4 linked regions of the Neodiprion lecontei genome follow. The protein of the gene in region 3 interacts with the protein of the main gene of each other region in a pairwise test. Links are inferred from orthologs where the notes say so. Each region holds a gene or a part of one and is shown on either strand. Other genes may lie near its edges.

Evidence for each region.
Region 1: the proteins of armadillo segment polarity protein (region 3) and protein BCL9 homolog interact in binary tests that used the Drosophila melanogaster proteins (3 or more experiments, as listed by UniProt). The link is inferred for Neodiprion lecontei from reciprocal best matches to the Drosophila melanogaster genes arm and lgs.
Region 2: the proteins of armadillo segment polarity protein (region 3) and catenin alpha interact in binary tests that used the Drosophila melanogaster proteins (3 or more experiments, as listed by UniProt). The link is inferred for Neodiprion lecontei from reciprocal best matches to the Drosophila melanogaster genes arm and alpha-Cat.
Region 4: the proteins of armadillo segment polarity protein (region 3) and axin interact in a two-hybrid assay, tested with the Drosophila melanogaster proteins (2 studies listed by BioGRID). The link is inferred for Neodiprion lecontei from reciprocal best matches to the Drosophila melanogaster genes arm and Axn.

What each region holds. Positions count from the first base shown.
Region 1 is NC_060264.1:35,193,426-35,198,153, reverse strand, and holds the start of protein BCL9 homolog, read left to right. Parts: upstream 1-1,711; 5' UTR 1,712-2,883; coding exon 2,884-3,181; intron 3,182-3,255; coding exon 3,256-3,497; intron 3,498-3,823; coding exon 3,824-4,109; intron 4,110-4,317; coding exon 4,318-4,682; intron 4,683-4,728. Other genes in the region: putative E3 ubiquitin-protein ligase UNKL, read right to left, coding at 593-823, 910-992. UniProt on the Drosophila melanogaster protein: Involved in signal transduction through the Wnt pathway.
Region 2 is NC_060265.1:18,568,739-18,573,383, forward strand, and holds the start of catenin alpha, read left to right. Parts: upstream 1-1,635; 5' UTR 1,636-1,723; exon of another isoform or gene 1,724-1,878; intron 1,879-2,442; 5' UTR 2,443-2,466; coding exon 2,467-2,783; intron 2,784-2,975; coding exon 2,976-3,708; intron 3,709-4,645. Other genes in the region: ESF1 homolog, read right to left, coding at 1-588. UniProt on the Drosophila melanogaster protein: Associates with the cytoplasmic domain of a variety of cadherins. The association of catenins to cadherins produces a complex which is linked to the actin filament network, and which seems to be of primary importance for cadherins cell-adhesion properties.
Region 3 is NC_060261.1:41,591,255-41,596,115, reverse strand, and holds the start of armadillo segment polarity protein, read right to left. Parts: upstream 3,023-4,861; 5' UTR 2,889-3,022; intron 2,016-2,888; 5' UTR 1,989-2,015; coding exon 1,952-1,988; intron 1,861-1,951; coding exon 1,630-1,860; intron 1,425-1,629; coding exon 630-1,424; intron 516-629; coding exon 247-515; intron 162-246; coding exon 1-161. UniProt on the Drosophila melanogaster protein: Isoform neural may associate with CadN and participate in the transmission of developmental information. Can associate with alpha-catenin.
Region 4 is NC_060261.1:3,714,800-3,719,789, reverse strand, and holds the start of axin, read left to right. Parts: upstream 1-1,974; 5' UTR 1,975-2,087; intron 2,088-3,725; exon of another isoform or gene 3,726-3,804; coding exon of another isoform or gene 3,805-4,025; intron 4,026-4,103; coding exon of another isoform or gene 4,104-4,169; intron 4,170-4,507; coding exon of another isoform or gene 4,508-4,597; intron 4,598-4,842; coding exon of another isoform or gene 4,843-4,903; exon of another isoform or gene 4,904-4,917; intron 4,918-4,990. Other genes in the region: uncharacterized protein LOC124292941, read right to left, coding at 3,805-4,025, 4,104-4,169, 4,508-4,597, 4,843-4,903.

The sequences.
Region 1 (4,728 bases), on a different chromosome or scaffold from region 3:
AGTGAAGTGGTCAAATTGTAGAACGATCGTCGGTATACAGCAGGGATAACCAACTTGATCGGACCCGAGATCTATCGTTTACTGTCCAGACTCTGTGCGATCTACCAATCTCAAATCTTTACCGCAGAATTACAAGAAATATTTGTTTGACAGTTATGTATTTTTCTTTGCTTTGTCGCGATCGACTGGCCTGGTAGCCAGGATCGATCGATCGGTTGGCCATCCCTGGTATACAGTATGGATTTATTATTGGTGAACAAACAACTGTGTAGGATAAATGACAATAATATGAAAGAGTACAAGGCAGTGTTGGTTCTTTGTTGTTAGGATAAGTAGGAGAAAATCAATACCGACAGAGTTCCTTTGTGCAAAATCAGCTCCTGGCGTGTGTGAAAATAATGCGAAAATCGTGTGGAGAGCCGCGACGGCGTGAGAAATTGGCGGGTAGCGCGGTCCGAATGATGTAAGAAAATAATGTTCGAGCTTCCAAGGGTGGTTAAATATGGGCGACGATAAGAAAAAAAAGCGGGTGGGTGTTGGACGGAGGGTAAAGGGGGATGGGGATGGGGAGGGGAGATAAGGAAGTACTCACTCGTCTCCGTCGGGACAAAGGCCGGTTGTCTCATCGTACTTGGTGCAGTAATTGTCGGCGCTGTAATTGAAGGTCCGATCACGTTTTTTTACGGGCCTTCGTCGCCGCTGGTTCATAAAGTGCCAGTTGAAGCAGGTGAAGGGCCTGTGCTGGGTGCATTTGCGTTGTATAAAGAGGGGGCATTGTTCCACGCGGAATTCCTTCAAATATCTGGAATGCGAATCCACAGAACTACACATTATTCGTTGTACACTGGACCGTGAGCACTGCACCACTGTCTGTCGTCACACTCGGGGGCCCCGCCAGGCACTACTTACGTGTAATGATTCGCCTTTTCTGTTTGAGCTGTCAACAAAGGTTTTGATTCGGACTTCATCTTGCGAAACGATCTATCGAGCATCCCAGGGGCGCAGGGTACGCGTCGCGGTCCGCCAATCCCTGGCCGTCCCGTGCGTCACGTGACCCCCGAATAATCACGAGTTTCAAGGTCATTGGTGTTTTGGTACCGAACGTAAACACGCACTCATGCCGATGCGCTTTACCCCCCGCCTAACACACTTCTTTTATTGTCAAACGATAGGATGCTTTTATTACCGTTACTCGGTGATCGAATTCTATCGCCTATAAACGCGATGAAAATGTCTCCTCCTCAACGTTGCTTGTAGAATCTTGCGTAGTTCTAGCAACTATCCTGACTCGCACTGCAGTTCGATGCTGTCGCGTCTGTCGCTATTGCGCTTGTTCATATGCGTAATTTCTTTGTGTTGCGGCGTCACTGGTTCAACACGCACTAGTTGTCCGATATTGTTTCTACTGGGTCGCCGCTGATATCTCACGGTATGGATTTCAGCCGGAGATTCTTTCGTCACTTTTATCCTTTCATCGCTTTGTCTACGAATAGATCGGTCGATAATTTTTATTTTATTGTTATTTTTGTATCCAATTTTTATCTTTCACACATACCAGCCCGAGTAATGATTTTATAATGTTGCACACTTTTCGCCACGCATTTACGAGCGAGATAAAACGTTAGATGGCAGCACCTCGCGCTTGTGTTACTTTATCATATGGACTAACTATACAACGTTCGGTCGTGTTTCAAAATTTCGGGCACTGTCCGTGAACTATATTCGTTCCTTTTCCCATGGCTGAGTTACAAAATGAACTGCGGTAGCGCTGAAAATTCATGGACCTAATTCTCTAGAAGTGAAATAGAGATCACCAACAATCCAAGTAGAGCGGGTGAAACACAGAACCACCGATCATCGTCAGAACTCCCAGCAAATGGTTGAATGCACCGTACATAATATACATGGCAATACTGCACTTAATAGTGGCAGATCTGAACGAAAAATCTAGTAACAAAATCTGATATTGTATACCGTGTATACCCTTGATGAATTAACAATTGGCTAGGGGTTGGCAAGCGTGTTTGAAAAGAAATAAATAAGCAAAGCGACCATGAAGTGACAAATAAAAGCTGAAGAAACACAATGCTGAGGTTCTAGGCGGTGAAAATCAAGTGTAACGTCGTCGATCGGTGGACAAGCCTCAATAACAGTAATACCGGCGTCTGTATAACGGATAAAAAATTTTCCACGGCCGAAGGCATGCAGACCTCGGTAATCCGAGGCTTTATGGGCTGACATTTCGGCCTCTCGACTCTCGCGACTCTGAACTCAATCCGCCGTCGAGCGGAGCGTTTTACCATCAACCCAGTTCTCCCAGTGCCTATAAAATCGGATAATAAACAACTGTCCGTGCGAACAAGTGCGACGTATCCTGCGTGAAGTAAAGCAATTTCAACCTCCATTCTCGCATCAGGTGATTCCTCCCCCGCGTCCCAGCCGAACAATAACACTCTGCTGGCCGAAGGTGAAGCCAAAACATGCTTCTGGTCGGGGACACGCTGCTGCCTTGATCAGTGCACGTAATACGTAGTTCCTACATACTTTTTTTAAAAATTTATTCTCACTTCGCATATCACGAGTTTTTCAGTTTTGTGCTTTTCTCGCGCGTGTGTGTGCTCGAGTGTGGATATTGGATATTCTTATTTTTATTTCTTTTCATCTTTTCGCTCCTGTGTTTTTTTGGGTATTTTTTTTTTCCAATCTTTCTTGACGGACAAGAGATCTAAAGAATATCTTGAGTTAATCATTGGATGTTGTATCGGTGGAATTGTATCCTTAATCATGGATGGATTGAAAAACTAGACTGGCCATGCTGCTCAGTGGTGAAAAAGTATCAACAGCCGTTTGACGTCGTCGTCGCTCGTCTCCGATAATACGAAAATGAAAACGGAGAAAAAATCGAGCGAAGCAACGTGCGTTACGACCACCGTCGTCAAGGAGGAACCTGATACAGATTCGGTTAAAATAAAGGAGGAGTCCGGGGTAGCAGGAACTGGCAATAATGAGAACACCATCAGGGAGGAATCGACGGAATGCCAAAGGGATTCAAACATCGATCCCAATCACACGGATGGCACTATGTCTCAAGAAAATCAAAATAGTACTAATAATCAATCCATACTTGGCTCTGTAAAACAGGAAAATGAACAGAACCATCCTGGCGATGATCTGCAAAATGGTGCGCACTCGGTATCTTGGTTAATTTTTCACCTTGGGCATAGATTAACGATTACTATTTATTATTTTACCCAGACTGCGCAGCAAGCGTTGGACTCTCGTCTGACGGAATTCAACCCCTAGTGAGCAATGTGCTTGCCAAGCAAATGGGCACTGGCACAGGCGGAGGGGATGCTCAGTACATGCAACAGCAGAGCCAGATATTTGTATTTTCTACTATGCTGGCAAATAAAGGCGCAGAAGCGGTTTTGCAGGGACAATTCCCATCGATAATTGCTTATCATTGCGCACAGCCAGGCACCAAGAAGTATCTGGAGGTACGTAGGCAGGATCGTCACAAATCTGGAAAGTCAGGAAAAGTCAGGGTATTTTATTTAAATTTTGAAATATAATATACCTTTAAGTCATTAATTGCAGAAATTGCTCCCTTTTATCGTAACTTGTTAACTTTTTTATTCTTCCAATGATTCAATAATTTTCTATCAAATTAAACTTGATAATGACAGATATCAATATTGAAGCATAGTTGAGACCACCATAGCGTATTGATTTATTTTGTAAACCACTGAGCGAAGATAGCAATTGGTATATTTCTGCAGATTATTGAAATAGAAGGATTTTTTTATCACCATTGTCGTTTCAGAAACACCCTAGTAAGGTGAACCAGTTCAGACCAAACCCTGCCCAGTGGTTGAATAATCTAGCGATGATGAAGCAGAAAGGCCAACAGGGCGGGCCGAATAGTGCTTTTCCCACCGAGCAGCCGCCGGACCTTCCTGCACTTGAGCCCAATGCGCCTCCGTTTTGGAATGAGCAAAGTACAATCAGAAACTTGAATGGCAGTAGCTCAATGGGCAACCCAGACTCCTCCCTCGACGATAACAATATCGATGTGCCTTGCCTTGTGCCGAACTCCCCTAACAACCCAGGTATTACCGCTAATAATTGAGTTAGACCAAACGAAATTCGACTATCCGTTTTTTGACCGAAAGTAATAAAAATGAACGAATGTTGAATGTTGTTTGGAGAGCGGTGAATCGTATTTTTAATTGGCTGCCCGGAGCTTAGAAGGGCTATGGAAAAGCAGCGGTTGTATGTATATGATTGATGACGTCAACGATTTTTGATCCTGGACAGGTAACTCTCAGCCACCAACTAGCACCGCATTGGGCCACAGCCCAAGCCTCCTGGGGGCACCGAACAGTCCTGGTTCCTCAGGTCTGCAGCCTTCTCTGCAGGGTGTCAAGGTACCTGACGAGAATTTGACCCCTCAGCAACGTCTGCACCGTGAAGAGCAGCTTGCCACTATAAGAAAAATGCATATGATGCTTTTCCCCGAGCGCAAAGACGAAGGCCCTGCTGCTGGCGGCTTGGACCCTACCCAAGGGCCTCCTCAGGCACCTGCACAAGGCGCGGGGAATGTTTCTAGCGGCCCTTTAGCAGGCCCGCCTGCCGTTGACTGGCACAAATTGCAACACCACTTTTTTGACGGCAAAAATAAGGTCTATATTAGTTGATTCTATGGTAGTCAGATGCTCCGATTCAATG
Region 2 (4,645 bases), on a different chromosome or scaffold from region 3:
ACTTCCCGTGTCAGACTTGTTAATTTGCAATGGATCTGCGCCGTTCTCAAAATCCATAGTAACTTTAGAAATTGATTCCAATTCATCCTCAGATTTAGAATATTCATTTTCATCATTTTCGGATTCTGATACTAAGTCACTGTCAGCTTGGGTTTTAGTACGCAGCAGTTCTCCATTTCCCAACAAATGGGCTACTTTGGTAGTGCGTTTTATCTTGCTTTTTGATTTTCGGTCAGACAGATTTTGTAAATGATCCAATCTATCTCCGTTCATGCCAGTAACACTTTTAGGCTTTACATCTTTTCGTACCTTGTTTTCAATATTAGTTGATTTGACATTCTCATCACTACCTGACTCTTCATCATCATTGCTTGACAAATGGTAATACTTTTTTAAATTTTCATTCGACGACTGATTACTCGGTCTTCCTCTTTTATCAATAGTATACTTCAGAAGAAACTTTTTGTCATTAAACATAGGCCGAAATCTCTTGTCAATTTTTACTTTTCGCTCAGTTTTAGGAATGCGTCTGAATCTCGGATCTTTTGCAACATGTGCAAATCGCGCATCATCCAGTACGTTATCCATAATTATTGATACGCAGAGTACCTAAGAACAGAACTAATTAATTCACTAATCTGGCATGTAAAGTTTTAACAACTGACTACTGTCGGATTCGTTTATAAGGATAAATTCCTTATTTCTTGAGCAAAAAATTAAACAACTGTGTGCAACACGGCGCCTTGACATAACCTATCTTAAGACCTCACGTGCCTCACGCGCGGTCTTACATACAGGCCTGAAACTCTGCTAATTTTAAGCGGTGCGGATTGTCGTCGTAGTTGTGACCCACGGTCGTATACACAGGTCTCGGCACTCAGGCTGTAAAACCGTGCTCGAAAATGAAGCCGATGTTGTGAATTTTTGCCGCTAGCGCTAGTGAGGGAGAGGCCTACTTAGCACGCAAGCGCACGGAGAAAAAGACAGCTGCCCTATATTCCCCTCTTTGCTGCACACAGGCCTCGGAGATTGCAGCGATCCGGACTTTGGTGTACAAATTGAGAAAGACAGGCTTCAAGACGGTCACGCTGCGTTATATAGGAAGGGGCTTGGAGTGCCCAGACCTGTCTATAAGACCGTGGTGTGACCAAACTGTGTTCCTGATTTGTCCACTAGCTACGCTGTCGTACTACGGTATTATAGATATAGATGCCACGGACGGTCAACAAACTGCTTCCATTTCTTTCGCACAGCCTGGATCCCTCAATAGCAGCGACACACGTGGTCACTAGGCGAAACGGCCAGTGCTTCAATAAGAGAACACATCCCGACCACCAAAGTTCCCAGACCCTGTATGTAAGACCGTGCTACCGACTGTGCATCTAGCTGTATCTGCGCGATCGAATCTAGTGTCTAGCATCTAGAAATAGTTGGGAGTGCCGTTGACGTCACAGCGGGCCGGTCGCATGTACACACGAGTGGTTGCAGCCAATCACTACTACCAGGTGTATGTGATTCGTCACCTTCTATAGTAGACGGATTTCTATTCGCTCTGAGACCAACTGCTGAAAACCCGGTTGGATGATTAAAATTCTGCTTAGGTAAAATGTCGCTCATATTCTTTGTATCTCTTCGTCCCTGGTTCGGGCGTAGACCGTGCTCCCCTCCCTGCGCCTGCCGCACCATTTCCGATTGAAGACAGCAATGACGTCATGAACGAAAGGTGTGTGATAAATCGAGGTGACATCAAGCTTCTCGTGGTAAAACTGGTCATCAGCAAGTAGATAAATCGATTGCAATTAGAGTTCAAGTAAAATATAAATTTATCACTAGTGATTGTGAAAAGTGCGAACAGTTAGTTTTTCGTATCTTATGAAGGTCAGTATAATAGCGAGGCGATTGTGTCGCCCATTGGTTGTGATACTCAACATTAGCTAATGCATTTTCGTATGATGAGTCAAGATGCATTCCTGGAACTTTTTATCAGTCCCTTTGATATTCCATTTGACTTTGTGTATGCACCCATTTTCCAGTGATAAATGTGGAATTTAAAAATCACTTTGGAAATCCTGAAAGTACTCATGCTGCCTAATTGGTTTTGAAAAGTTTATTCAGTTCTGAGCTTCTGCAATTCTTAACGACTTCAATCTTCAAAGTTATCCTGGATACATTTTATCAGTTATCTTCGTATTCAAGTTTAAAATTCAGCCTCAGGAAACGCGCTGTGTAATAAAAATAAAAGTTCAAGTCTCAACTCCAGATTGATGTGTAGACTTCACTGACGATTTGACATTTCCTTACTTAGTCACTAACTTTGGTAGCATACTCATTGATTGACTTCCGAAACCTGCTTCTTATGATCATCTACATTACGTAGTCTGAAAATTGAGGTCATCAGTTTCATAGGCAAATCAATAACCGAACCCCAATTTACTATTTCAGAGCAGTACTCGATAAGGAGTAAAAATGTCGGATCACTTTGGGCCAATAACATTAAAATGGGATCCCAAGAATTTGGAGATTCGAACAATGTCTGTAGAAAAAACGTTGGAGCCATTAGTTCTGCAAGTAACTACTTTAGTTAATACCAAAGGTCCAAGCAAAAAGAAGAAGGGCAAATCTAAACGTGCCAGTGCCTTGGTTGGAACAGTTGAAAAAGCTACAACTAACTTCATTGAAAAGGGAGAGCAGATAGCATATGAAAATCCTGATATTACGGCTGAAATGCTTAGTGCCGTTGAAGAAGTGAGAAAAACAGGAGCTGCGATGAGCATTGCTGCTCGGTCAGTACAGTTGAATTAATTTTGTTGATTGAAACTTGTAGAAGTTTGAGAAAAGTTTTTCATAACTATCAAACCTAGTTTTCTTAAGTTCTTTGTTGAATTAATTGTATTTAATTTAATACAGTAATATTTCACAGATATTCAAAGATTTGGTCTATTCAGTTTATTCGAAGTTTTAACTTTTTAATTCAGGGAGTTTTCAGAAGATCCTTGTTCTTCGCTGAAGCGAGGTAACATGGTACGTGCAGCAAGGAATCTTCTATCTGCTGTCACACGTCTTCTAATATTGGCAGACATGGTTGATGTGCATTTGCTTTTAAAATCTCTGCATGTGGTTGAAGACGATTTAGAGAAGTTGAAAAATGCTTCTTCCCAAGGCGAGCTATTGGAGAATATCAAGCAGTTTGGCAGAAATGCCTCAGAGCTTATGAATCAAGCAGCTAAACGTCAGCAAGAACTTAAAGATCCCCAACTTCGTGATGACTTAGCAGCTGCCAGGGCTGTTCTCAAGAAACATTCAACGATGCTTTTAACAGCTTCTAAAGTCTACGTTCGACACCCAGAACTAGCTGCTGCTAAAGCTAACAGAGATTACGTTTTGAAACAAGTCTGCGAGGCTGTTAATACTATAAATGATGTAGCACAGGGGAAAACACCAACAGATGGCCAGCATCCGTATGATGGACCAGGAGAGTTGGCTGCAGCTCTTGATGATTTTGATGAAAGAATGGCAATGTCACCCCTGGCTTATAACGAAGTACGCACTCGTCCCAGTCTGGAGGAAAGGTTGGAAAGCATTATTAGTGGAGCTGCACTCATGGCTGATTCTTCATGTACAAGAGATGAGCGCAGGGAACGGATTGTTGCTGAGTGCAACGCAGTTAGACAAGCACTGCAAGATCTACTCAGCGAATACATGAACAACGTAAGTATTAATATGTCTAATTTACAACTTTTATCGACATTCAAACATCATGAGATTCTTTAACTTATCAGTTATTTGATTTTAAAGGGAGATCTCACTGCGATTCCAAATTATTTCAATCGCAATGATATTTTCCCCACCAATAAGGTTTCGCAAACCAAATCTTTTTATATTTATTTGGATTGATTGTACACAGTATGTTTCTAGATATTGGTTTACACAATTTCAAAAATTAGTGATCTTTGATTTTCTCGTTTCATCAACCTTTCACTAAAATTTGAAATGACTTCATAGCTGTCCTGGTAAGATCAAGCAGGAAAGTTACTATCCAAATCGCAATTTGATAATCTACTATGAAATTATGTCAGTTTCTTGCTATTGAGAATAGTCACACTAATTTTCAATTGAAGAAAGTGTGCTGATTTGGTCACATTTAATTTTAGAAATAATTTTGATTTTAATTCTTAAGATATTTATTTTATTCTTTTATCATTTAAACTTTGTTCTACATATTATTGGCACAGTTTGATAATTGATCATCAAATGAGAAGTAAAATTGAAAAAAAAAAAAAAAAAAATAACAACCTTTCTTACTTGTGCTACAAAGATAGCTATGCAATTAATGACCATTTTAACGAAACAAATTGCTATGCAAAAAGTCTCTTCGAGAACACAAAGTTTCGACAACATTGAAACCAATATTTAACACACTCAATGCAATAAATCCAAACTGGTGTGAATCTTTGTTGATGGTTAAAATTTGATGTCAATCGACAAATCTTCGAGTTTTGCTGATGTGTCCCCTAAAGAAAAGAATAATTAGACAACGACGCTTATCGTGTCTTTTATCGCATAATTTGAAAGTCCCCTTCTGTATCATTTTTTATCCCAAAACAATTTCAGGATAGAAATACAGCTGAGAATTCGTCATTTAAAG
Region 3 (4,861 bases):
TAGTTCAAGCGGACCGAATTTTGGGCCATTTCGGCGTCGACGTGACGCGAAGTTAGATGACGGAGAGCACAGACTGCTGGCTCTGTTATCTCCTCGCGATCACCAGCGCTGACAATAGTGCGCACAAGTGCGTCGACTCCCCCAACTTGACACACTGTGACCTGAAATAAGTTTTTAAGATACTTTTGTGAATATTTTGCTTCTTCACCTCATTTATTTCCTTACTCTGTAAGAAATTTGACGCACCTTGTTGCGTTGATTGTTGCATGTCAAATTTGACAAAATACCGGCTGCACATGTGACAACGTTTACGTCGCTTGAAGTCAGCACCTGCACTAATCCTTGCAGCAGACCCTCCAATCCGTCAACTTTTGTTCCTGCGTCAGAGAGATTTCGCAGTGTCCACAAGCAATTCTGAACCAGTCTTGGACTCGAGTTTCCAAGATGCATTGCCAAGGCTTGCATACCGCCAGCTTCGACAATTGCTGGTTTGTTGCTGGAGCACACCGACAGCACTGAGGAAGAGAAGAGAATACATATTGAAATATGATTGTTGCGTAAGAGGTGGCAGGGATAATTTCAGTGAATATTGTCTATAAGTCCCTAGATATTGTTAGATTGTATTTTACCCTTCAAGACTCTGGAGGTTGTCCACAAGAGCTTCTCATACTCATAAGAGCGCATAATTCGTACAAGTTCGATTGGTCCCTGAGAAGCGAGGATGATCAGCTTGCTTTCTTGATTGCCGTAAGCGAGAATTTGGAGACAGTCAGTTACAATAGCCAAAAATTTCACGTTGTTACGCTGAAGAAGAGCAACCATCTTCTGCAGTCCACCGGCAAGACGTACGGCCATTTTAGAACCGTCTTGGTGAAGCAGCAGATTGTGAAGCGTGGTTATGGCGTAGAATAATACAGACTCTACTGGTGAACTCAACAGCTTAACAAGAGCAGGGATACCGCCACTTTTGAAAATAGCCAGAAGCCCTTGTCTGTGGTGAGACAAATTGTGCAGAGTTCCGACCGCAGCTTTCGTTGATTCAAGATCATTGCTGTTTGAGATTGCTCGTACAAGAGCAGCCACCATTTGGGGACTGTTCATAATAGCGTGTCGTGAGGCTTCCTTTTTAGACAACTGATGCACCATCATAGCAGCTTGCGAAACTATAACCTGATCCTCGTCGTTGAGGAGCTTGATCAACTCTGGAATCGCACGAGTTGCCAGATCTGCATCATCCTGATAGTTGATCAAGTTGACCACTGCGTGCTTCAACATTTGGCTTGGCTCTGCCAGTCTTTGAACTGCGGTTGGTTGCGCTGGATCATACTGTGTAGATGGTATCTCAATACCCTCCTCTAATGTTTCAGGGAACATTGCTGCGCGTACACGCTGTGATCTCGTGTGGCTCAGTTGTTGATTCATTTCTGTTGAAATAAAAATGATTGTTGAATATTTTAATTGAATTTTACAAGATTCGTTAACACGTACTCCTCGCTGTTTACAACTTGACAGAATTATTTTAAACTGAGGCTGAAGTTTGTAGTAATTTCAAGCAGGAAATAATACTCCGTAATATTTTGGGTTTTTTTCTTCCATATGTAATAAATATTTCAATAATATTTTCCTCACCGTCGACTTGGTCCTGTGTGAATCCTTGAGCGAAGCCCTGATCCAAGTCGAACATGAGTTGGTCTCCCTCTATATCGTCATCTTCCTTTCCTGACAGAGACTGCGCCTGAGTCGCAGCCCCTGAGTGGATTCCCGAGTCGCCCATGTAGGAGTTTTGTTGCCACATGAGAGTCTGCTCTTTGGCAGAGCCCATCGGTAGGTCTGCCGGGCCTTGATAGCTGCCGTGCGACACTGGAAGTTACGAATATAACAGAAAATTGATTCAACTTCAAATCGAAAGGCCCTAAGGTCAGACCTGTAATTCAAATCAGATGGTACTTACTGGGTCTAGATTGATTCGACGTCATTTGATAACTCATGGCTCCAACGGGCGAAACACTCCACACCTGCATAAAATGGGGATTATTATGTAATTTTGTATCAGATCGATCGGAGTAAGTTTAGTATTGAATGTGTATTACGCAACAGTCTAAAATGTCACAAATTACAACTAATGAAAGCACGTCTTTTTTTTGTTCAGAGACACCAAACTGCATATAGATATACGTACATATGTCTAGCTGCTATGTAACTTTCATTCTTATGCAAATTTGACAACAGACTCATCGCTCCTATGATTCATATTACCAGCTAGCTAACGATTGTGAGATAACAAGTATCTCGTAATACGCACTTGTAATATTTAGATTAACACCAGTGTATTTAATCATACAGATATAAAACATATATCTGATCGAAGCAGAAAAATGTACAAATGTATGATAAAAAAAAAATAATAAATAAAATAAAATACATGTCTACCACAATCCTCAAAAAACCTATTCACGCTAATAGCAAAGCGAATAGTACAAGATGCACGCAGGTGCACATATCCGTTCGAGTAAAGCGATAGGTAGGTAGTTTTTTTTTTTTTTACTCTCCCTTCTATTTCTCTTTTTTTTTATTTTCCATACTTAATTTATCGACGAAACGCCGGGGATCATACGAACTGCTTTAGAGGGTGAAAAAGGACCGATAAAGCGTATTAAACGAGTGTGATACCCGGAGTGGGCCAAGAAACCGAAGCGTGGGTACGCGTGGGTGTTGCGGCACAACAAAGGGCTCAAGAATGCAATGCATCACCATTTTCTGACAATCGGAAGGGGGCAATGGAAGCACTTTTGACACACCCAGGCGTAAACACGAAAATCGGGGATAATCAGGCCTCAGAGGGCGAGACCGGGGGCGCGAATAACGCAGGATAACATTGTTTCACTTACCGTTTACCAGAGGGTCGATAATTATTGTTATTCGTGCGAATATCGTCCGTCAAACTACGCGAGTGACTCACTTTACACCAGCCAGCTTCCAGTTCCCCCTTCCAAGCACTGCCTCCTCGCTCCGCCAACTAAACATGGCGGATCCAGCGGCCGCAGCGCGCCCTTTACGACGAGACGAGGACCTGCGCCGCGCAGAAAGTAGTCCCGATGTTTAGACGCGGTGATTAGAGTATGACACACTATAATATGACTCGAGTCGATATACTGTGCCGTGTCGGCGGTACAAAGCATGCGTGAAGTTTCAGCCTCCCGCAGAAGCTTCGGGGAACCGGTCAACGGCGCTGATTCGGATCATGGGACGATTGGGTAGAATTCGAATTGAAAAAAATAAAACAAACTGTCACGATCCGTAGAATCTTTGGGTTAGGAGGAAACCTTTTTGTGTTACTACGCCGATAGTGGACCGAGCGATCAAGTGCCGAGTGTTGCCACTTGACTAATTGTTCCATGTGCTCGAAATAGGCAATAAATTCGATGCCGTACGAGCCTCTCGACGCTCTCTGCATACGCCTTTTTCATCATTCACTCTTTGTCGGATTTTTTCATCATTCGGGTCTGAGGACATCGTTTGGAAATCGGAGAATTCCCAGCTGACTAAGCCGAACACTAATCGGCGGCATTGCGTGACTCCTATACGTACTACAGACTCTAGTCTACGGTATTCGGAGAATTAGAAAAGCGCGGTATACGCGTCAGAACTATTCCTTTATTTCATGTTAGCTTATGTTCTTAGTTTGTGACGAAATTCGCAGATGATAATTGACCGGGAAACTTCCCTCGTGCATCGTCCACAGGCGTAAATCATACTTTTATAAGGATTTAACATGTATGAATCTACATAATGTATAGGTATAGTAACAGTTATACCTAACTGGTTAATAAAGTTATTCTGTGTTAAATTCTACTGGATTTATCTCTCCATTTACATATAATAATCGTAAATATTTCATCTTTCAACAAACAGTCGCCCTGATGCCTACATCTTCTATAATCACGTGGCGTGCTCCATAGGGTTCGAGCTTAAGCAAACATACATGATTATGGCAACAAAAAGCCAGCGTTTGTAGATATATTTCAGATAAATGATTGTTCGTTTATTATCGATGGATGAGATATTTAAAATTCTGCGAATAACTTTTTTCTCCAACTAGTCTCGTTCAGATGAAATTGTATGATTTTTCTATTTTGCTTCTAAACGAAGGCCGCTCGAACCGCTCCCAGCTTTTTATGGTCAGAATCGACCCTTGCAGGGATAATAGGGAACCGCTATTTTACCTGAACGAAACGCGACAGCACAGAGAATTGCTTGAACTGCGCAGTTTGAAATCTAGCTAACTTTGTACAAGGAGTTGTTCCTTTTTAATCTCCACGTGGAAACGAGATAAGCCTGAGCAAGTTGACCGAAGAATCAACCGTGGAATTTATACTCTCGCGTTCCTGCAATTACCATTATTTAAGTAGCTATGCCGCGGTTTTACACGCCAGACTAATGTCTAGCTTGAAACTAAGTTGATTTATTATAGTTGTATTATAGCTGCGTAACATGACCGTAGTATAGTAACTCCAGAAATTTCAGCTACGTTTATCGCTCGTAATTATACCATTTTAGCAATTCTGATAGATTATCTCTTCGTTCTCAATTACAGCGATTCTATTTGCTCTTGAAAGTAACTATCGAAACGCTGCGAAGATTCTAAAATCGGCGCATGTTATTCTCGATCGGAGGTGCCACAAGCGCCTACACGAATGCAACCGATATAGCACGCGCGCTTGGCGTGTAGCGTGTGTCGCTCGTTAGGGGAGCGTTTCGAAACGAAATTTGTGTTATTACCGCACGATCGCGACAAAACGAAGTCGTGAGTTAAGCGAGACGTAAATCGGAGCAAAACGGACAGTCCGCTTTTCAGCACTTC
Region 4 (4,990 bases), about 38 Mb from region 3:
CTTTTTTTTTTTTTATTTCAATTTTTTTCTCGGTAAATAGGTCCTTTTAAGACCAAAGATTGGATAGGTTAGCTTTTTTGGCTCACCCCAGTATGTATGCATGTATATATGTATGTACGTGTGACAAGTTTTTTCTAACAATTATCACGTTTCACAACGCAAAGCGCATATTTCCCAGAGTAGAATCGAGTGCTATATTATTCTGCATGCCTACCATATTTAATATACACGTGCGTAAAAAATGTGTGTAATAACATCCAGCAATCAGATAGTACATTATAGTTTAGGCAAGGCATAATTATTGTGTGACGTATAAAGATTTTGTTTGTATTCGACACAAACTTCACTGTAAATAGTAAGGCGCGAGACAATTCCGAGAAAATCGAACGAGGAAAATTTGTGCGTACTCGTATACGTTGTACTTTTCAAATTAACGGTAAACTTAATTATCGCCAGCTCTGTATGGAATCTCGTTACCGACAATTTTTTTTTCTTCTCTTCATGTTTTCACTCTCCACGCAATTCTAAAAACAGACGTATTACGATATTGCAAGTTATTAATATTTTATAATTAATTTTCATCGAAAATAATCAGTTTGTTATTTTTATAATTTCTCTCCCGATTGTAAAATGTCGGACCTTGTCGAGGCCTCCGTCTACAATTCGTAGTGATAATTGCCGATTATAACGGTGAAGTGAGAGCCCAATTTGACCTGAAAAAGGTTGCGAACACAGAATTTCCTCTTGGTGGTGGGGGAACAAAGGACGTCGCATCCAGGTATGCGTTCAGGTACCTTTGGGAAAAGTTGGAAATTATATGAAAATATGCAATGCTTTATTCTTGTTGAATGTAAATATTTTCGAATATTAAGTGTATGGCGAAATATTACTATTCGACAATGGAGGATAACCTGAAACTGAAAATAAATTTTTTTACGAGGAGATTGAATATGAAAGAAGCATACACGAGAACTTTCGCAAGTCGATATTTACATTTTATTAATATTAATTTTTTTTTACATCGCAGCTTATTTTTCATCATTTAATGTCTCACCTATGGAGTCTTGCGCAAATTGGGATAATTCAAGTCGTCGTAGAAACATGCGAAATCATCCCGGTATCTGGTGTAAATATGTAACGAATGCAGAAATTAGCTCCCATTTAGTGCTGTCAGCAATCTTTTATCTCTTTGGCGCCGCAGTTCGCGAGGAGCTTTGCCTCTGTCCTAAGAAGTTTTCACCGTTGCCATCTAATTTCGAATTCTTTAAAAGAATTGACATTAAACAAGAACAACGTATTGCATTCTGATTGGTTGATTAAACTTTGCAAACCAATGAGAACGCTTGCCTGGTAGGAAGTGTGAAATCACATTATCTTGACCCTGAGCGGCAGCTCGCAAAGATCGTTGAATTGGCGGCTAAAAATTTTAACGCGGTTCGGCTATACCTGGAAAAGTCCTTCTACAGTTCTCATTGTCCCTTCTGCAGATGCAAGTATTTTTATTAAGTACCTTGAGACAGCTGCAGCTGCACAATGATGGTCACTAGAGGTGTGCGGGTACTGAAATTTTTCGGGTCGTGTACCTGAGAATCTCGAGTTCCTCAAGAATGTTGGGTTTTCCGAAAATTTTGCTCGTATCTATTTTCGCTTCTCCAAAAATATCGGGATTTCTAAAGTGAACGGAGATTTTCGAAGATTTCGGATTACCCGAAGTTTTCAAATTACCCGATGTTTTTAGATTACCCGAAGATTTCCGGTTTGCCAAAAAACCCGACCCGAACCCGACTTCGAGTACCCGAAATTTCGATTACCTTTCATTTTAATCTTTTGATCACCTCGTGCTCAGCACAGAAACTTATTAAAGTCTCGGACGTTACAGTAAGGCGAGACATGATTACCATGCACCATTTTTGAACTGATTTTACTTTTTCCTTCCTAACATTTCTCTCTTTATATCTTTCAGAAAAAAAATTATTACGCAGCCCTCGAGACTCGAATAAAACGAACGTGGCTCGAAGACTTAATTGCCAAGCTTGGAATCGAAATAAGGTGTTTCAAATGAGGCGAGGCTACGTCTATAAAATAAGGTAAACGAGTCTTATTATTTTTTTAAGGTATCGAATTTGACGATTCGAAAGCATAAATACCATGATTATTTTTCTCATCACGCGACCTATGATGTTTAACAATATTCAGGCAAGTAAATTATGCCAAATTTATATGCCCATAATTTCGATTTTTATCGTTATTCATTTTTCATTCTCCGTGCATATTTTCTTCTAACGTTTTGATGAAAGTCTTGTACTTTCAGCAAAGCCCAAATTTTTGTCTTTCACAGGACATCCACCTGTGTAATCGGTTCTTTGAACAGTGATAATCGTTCCAGTTTTCTTATTCAAAACATGCGACATATGCATCACAGCCCTTTTTCCGCTGCAGGGATCTTCCTCCGTTATTTTTGTGTTGTATTGCTTAACGTCTGGTGATATCTCTGGAAATTACATCAACGTTTATTATCTAAACCGAATACTTATATTACTCTGCACGAACTTCACTCGTCAGTCTTGCACCTGTAGAATTACTGGACTTTGTCAACAAGCCAGTAACTCGGATCCGATTAGTTAGCAACTATAACACATGGACACGAAATTTATTACATCACCTTTTTCCACCGTTTCCATAAGTGGTCGTGATGTTATTTTCGATGTATCCAGGGTAGTGTCGTGAGGTATTCCAAAACTCTTTCCTTTGGAAACGGTTGATAGAGACGTCATATTCATCACTAAAGAACGGTATTTGTTCAAATTTACTCTTCGAGTGATTTAATTAGCGAAACGTACCGCAAAGTTACACTAACAATTATACAACAAGGCTTGACTTACGATAGTCCTCCATGTCCACTTCCAATTCGTCCTCGTTTACGTCGCAGGCGGACATTTTGGCTGTAAATTGAAGAGTGAAGGGAAAACTCCTGGGATTAAACCGCACCGAAAAAGTTAAATAAAAAAATATCTTCCCTTTTTTGGGGGGTGATCGTGACGGCTGTAACGGAAATCATTGTTCATGGTTTCGATGCTTCTAAACGCGGGTTTAGAGTTCGAAAAGAGAAATGCAAGGTTATAACCAATGCCGAACGAACCACCAGCTACAATGCAATTCCAGTCAACTAAATTACGGTATATCATTGAAATTTTAATAGTCAATTTCCGACACATCACATTCGCCACTTTCTGATACGATCATCCTCAAAGTTCCATAATCAATTGCAATGCAATTCCGTCCCTTTAATTTACCGTGCTTTTTTCCCTGACTTCCACATCCGGATCTCTTCATTCTTGGTTTTAATGTCTTGGTGATTTTTTTTTTTTTCTTTTTGTTTATTCAACCTGGGTTAATAATCTCAAGACTGGAAAATATTTACATCAATTTCGAATTTGGTTAGTTTAGAATTTGGAGACAAAAATTTGTTTCATCGATACCAAGCTGTTAACACGACATCTGTTTTCAGATCATCTTTGTTTTTTTTACCATTGCTACTCAGTTTCTATATACATTTGTATTTTCGATTTCGTCCTAATCCTCTAATCAAGCAACCAAATCAGTAATTATATCGTGATAGAAACTCATTAGTTTTTTATACACAACATACGGATGGAATTGGTGATATAATGAACAAAGAAGGATATACGTAAATGGACAAATTCATGCGATTTATTATTATCGTGAAACGTTCCTTGTCACAGAGACGTTCTACTGTTGATAATTGAATTGTTTTTTTTTTTTTCTATCAACGTTTTACAATTTTCAATAAAACCCGTTTCCGTTGTCGTCGTCCATATTAAGCCATCTCCTAGCAATGTCGATTCTGTGCCTTGTTCCATTCGGCTTTTCATCAATTTTACGATCCAATTGCATAATTTGACACCCCTCGTTGTCCCTGACATCACTGGTGTGTCTCAATCTTCGTCCGAATTTCAAGCACTCTTCGAACGTTACGTTGAACATTTTAGACCCGTCAGGCATTTCTAAACAATTTATTTTCATCATTTTCATGCTTCATCCGTTTCAAACAACATTCGAATTCCGAGTAAAACATTAATTACCAAAGGCTTCTGCTCTGGTTGTTCTTTGATTCCTTTTCGGTGTACTTGTATACATTTTGTAATCATCTATTGAATCGGAAAAACATTTTTCATTAGTTCTCGAAGCAGAAAAAAATTTCTACCACTACGAATTTTTACAGAAATTTCAACACTTCGTATTATATCTTAAAAAAAAATTGTAAACATGCATAATTTTTCTTAAAGAATTATTAATTTTCGTTAAAAATCGTAACAGCTTGTAGAGTTTTTTTTTGAAACAATAGATAGTTTCATGAAAATCTACAAGCTTTTACAAGTACGACAATAATTTTTTGCACAATGTCGTACGAAATGACCCGATTTTCCGGAAAAATTTCGTAGAAAATTGTAGCAATCATTTTCACCGGGGTAGTTTGATGGCTTACCGCTATTTTCTGCTCTTCCGTAGGTGCTACCCGGAAGATGATAACCTTCCGCCATGCTGTTTGGTCGGTTTCTCTCAGCTCTGTTTTCGACTGAAACAAAGCAATTATGTAATTCTATACGATCTTACGTAATCGGAGTCGGGTGTTAAACACGTTTGCTGGATTCTTATTCTAGCCTAAAGTATTAGGCCTGACACTCGAAACCGAGAATCTCGTCGCAGAGTCAGGGCATTTTATTCCTTGGCTTGAAAAAATTCCGATTACGATAAAGTTAATTTTAGTTTACTTGGTAAAAATTAGTAAAAAGAATACCGCAGAGCTGCATAATTACTCACGATACGACATTATGTCTGATTCGTAATCCTGTGTAGAATCGTGCATGTAGTCAGCCTCCATGCAGGAAAAATCCTCTGGGAATTGATAAATAGTTGCTCTAATTGCACCGGTAACAAATCTTACTTTTTTTTTTTTTTTTAAGCTAAA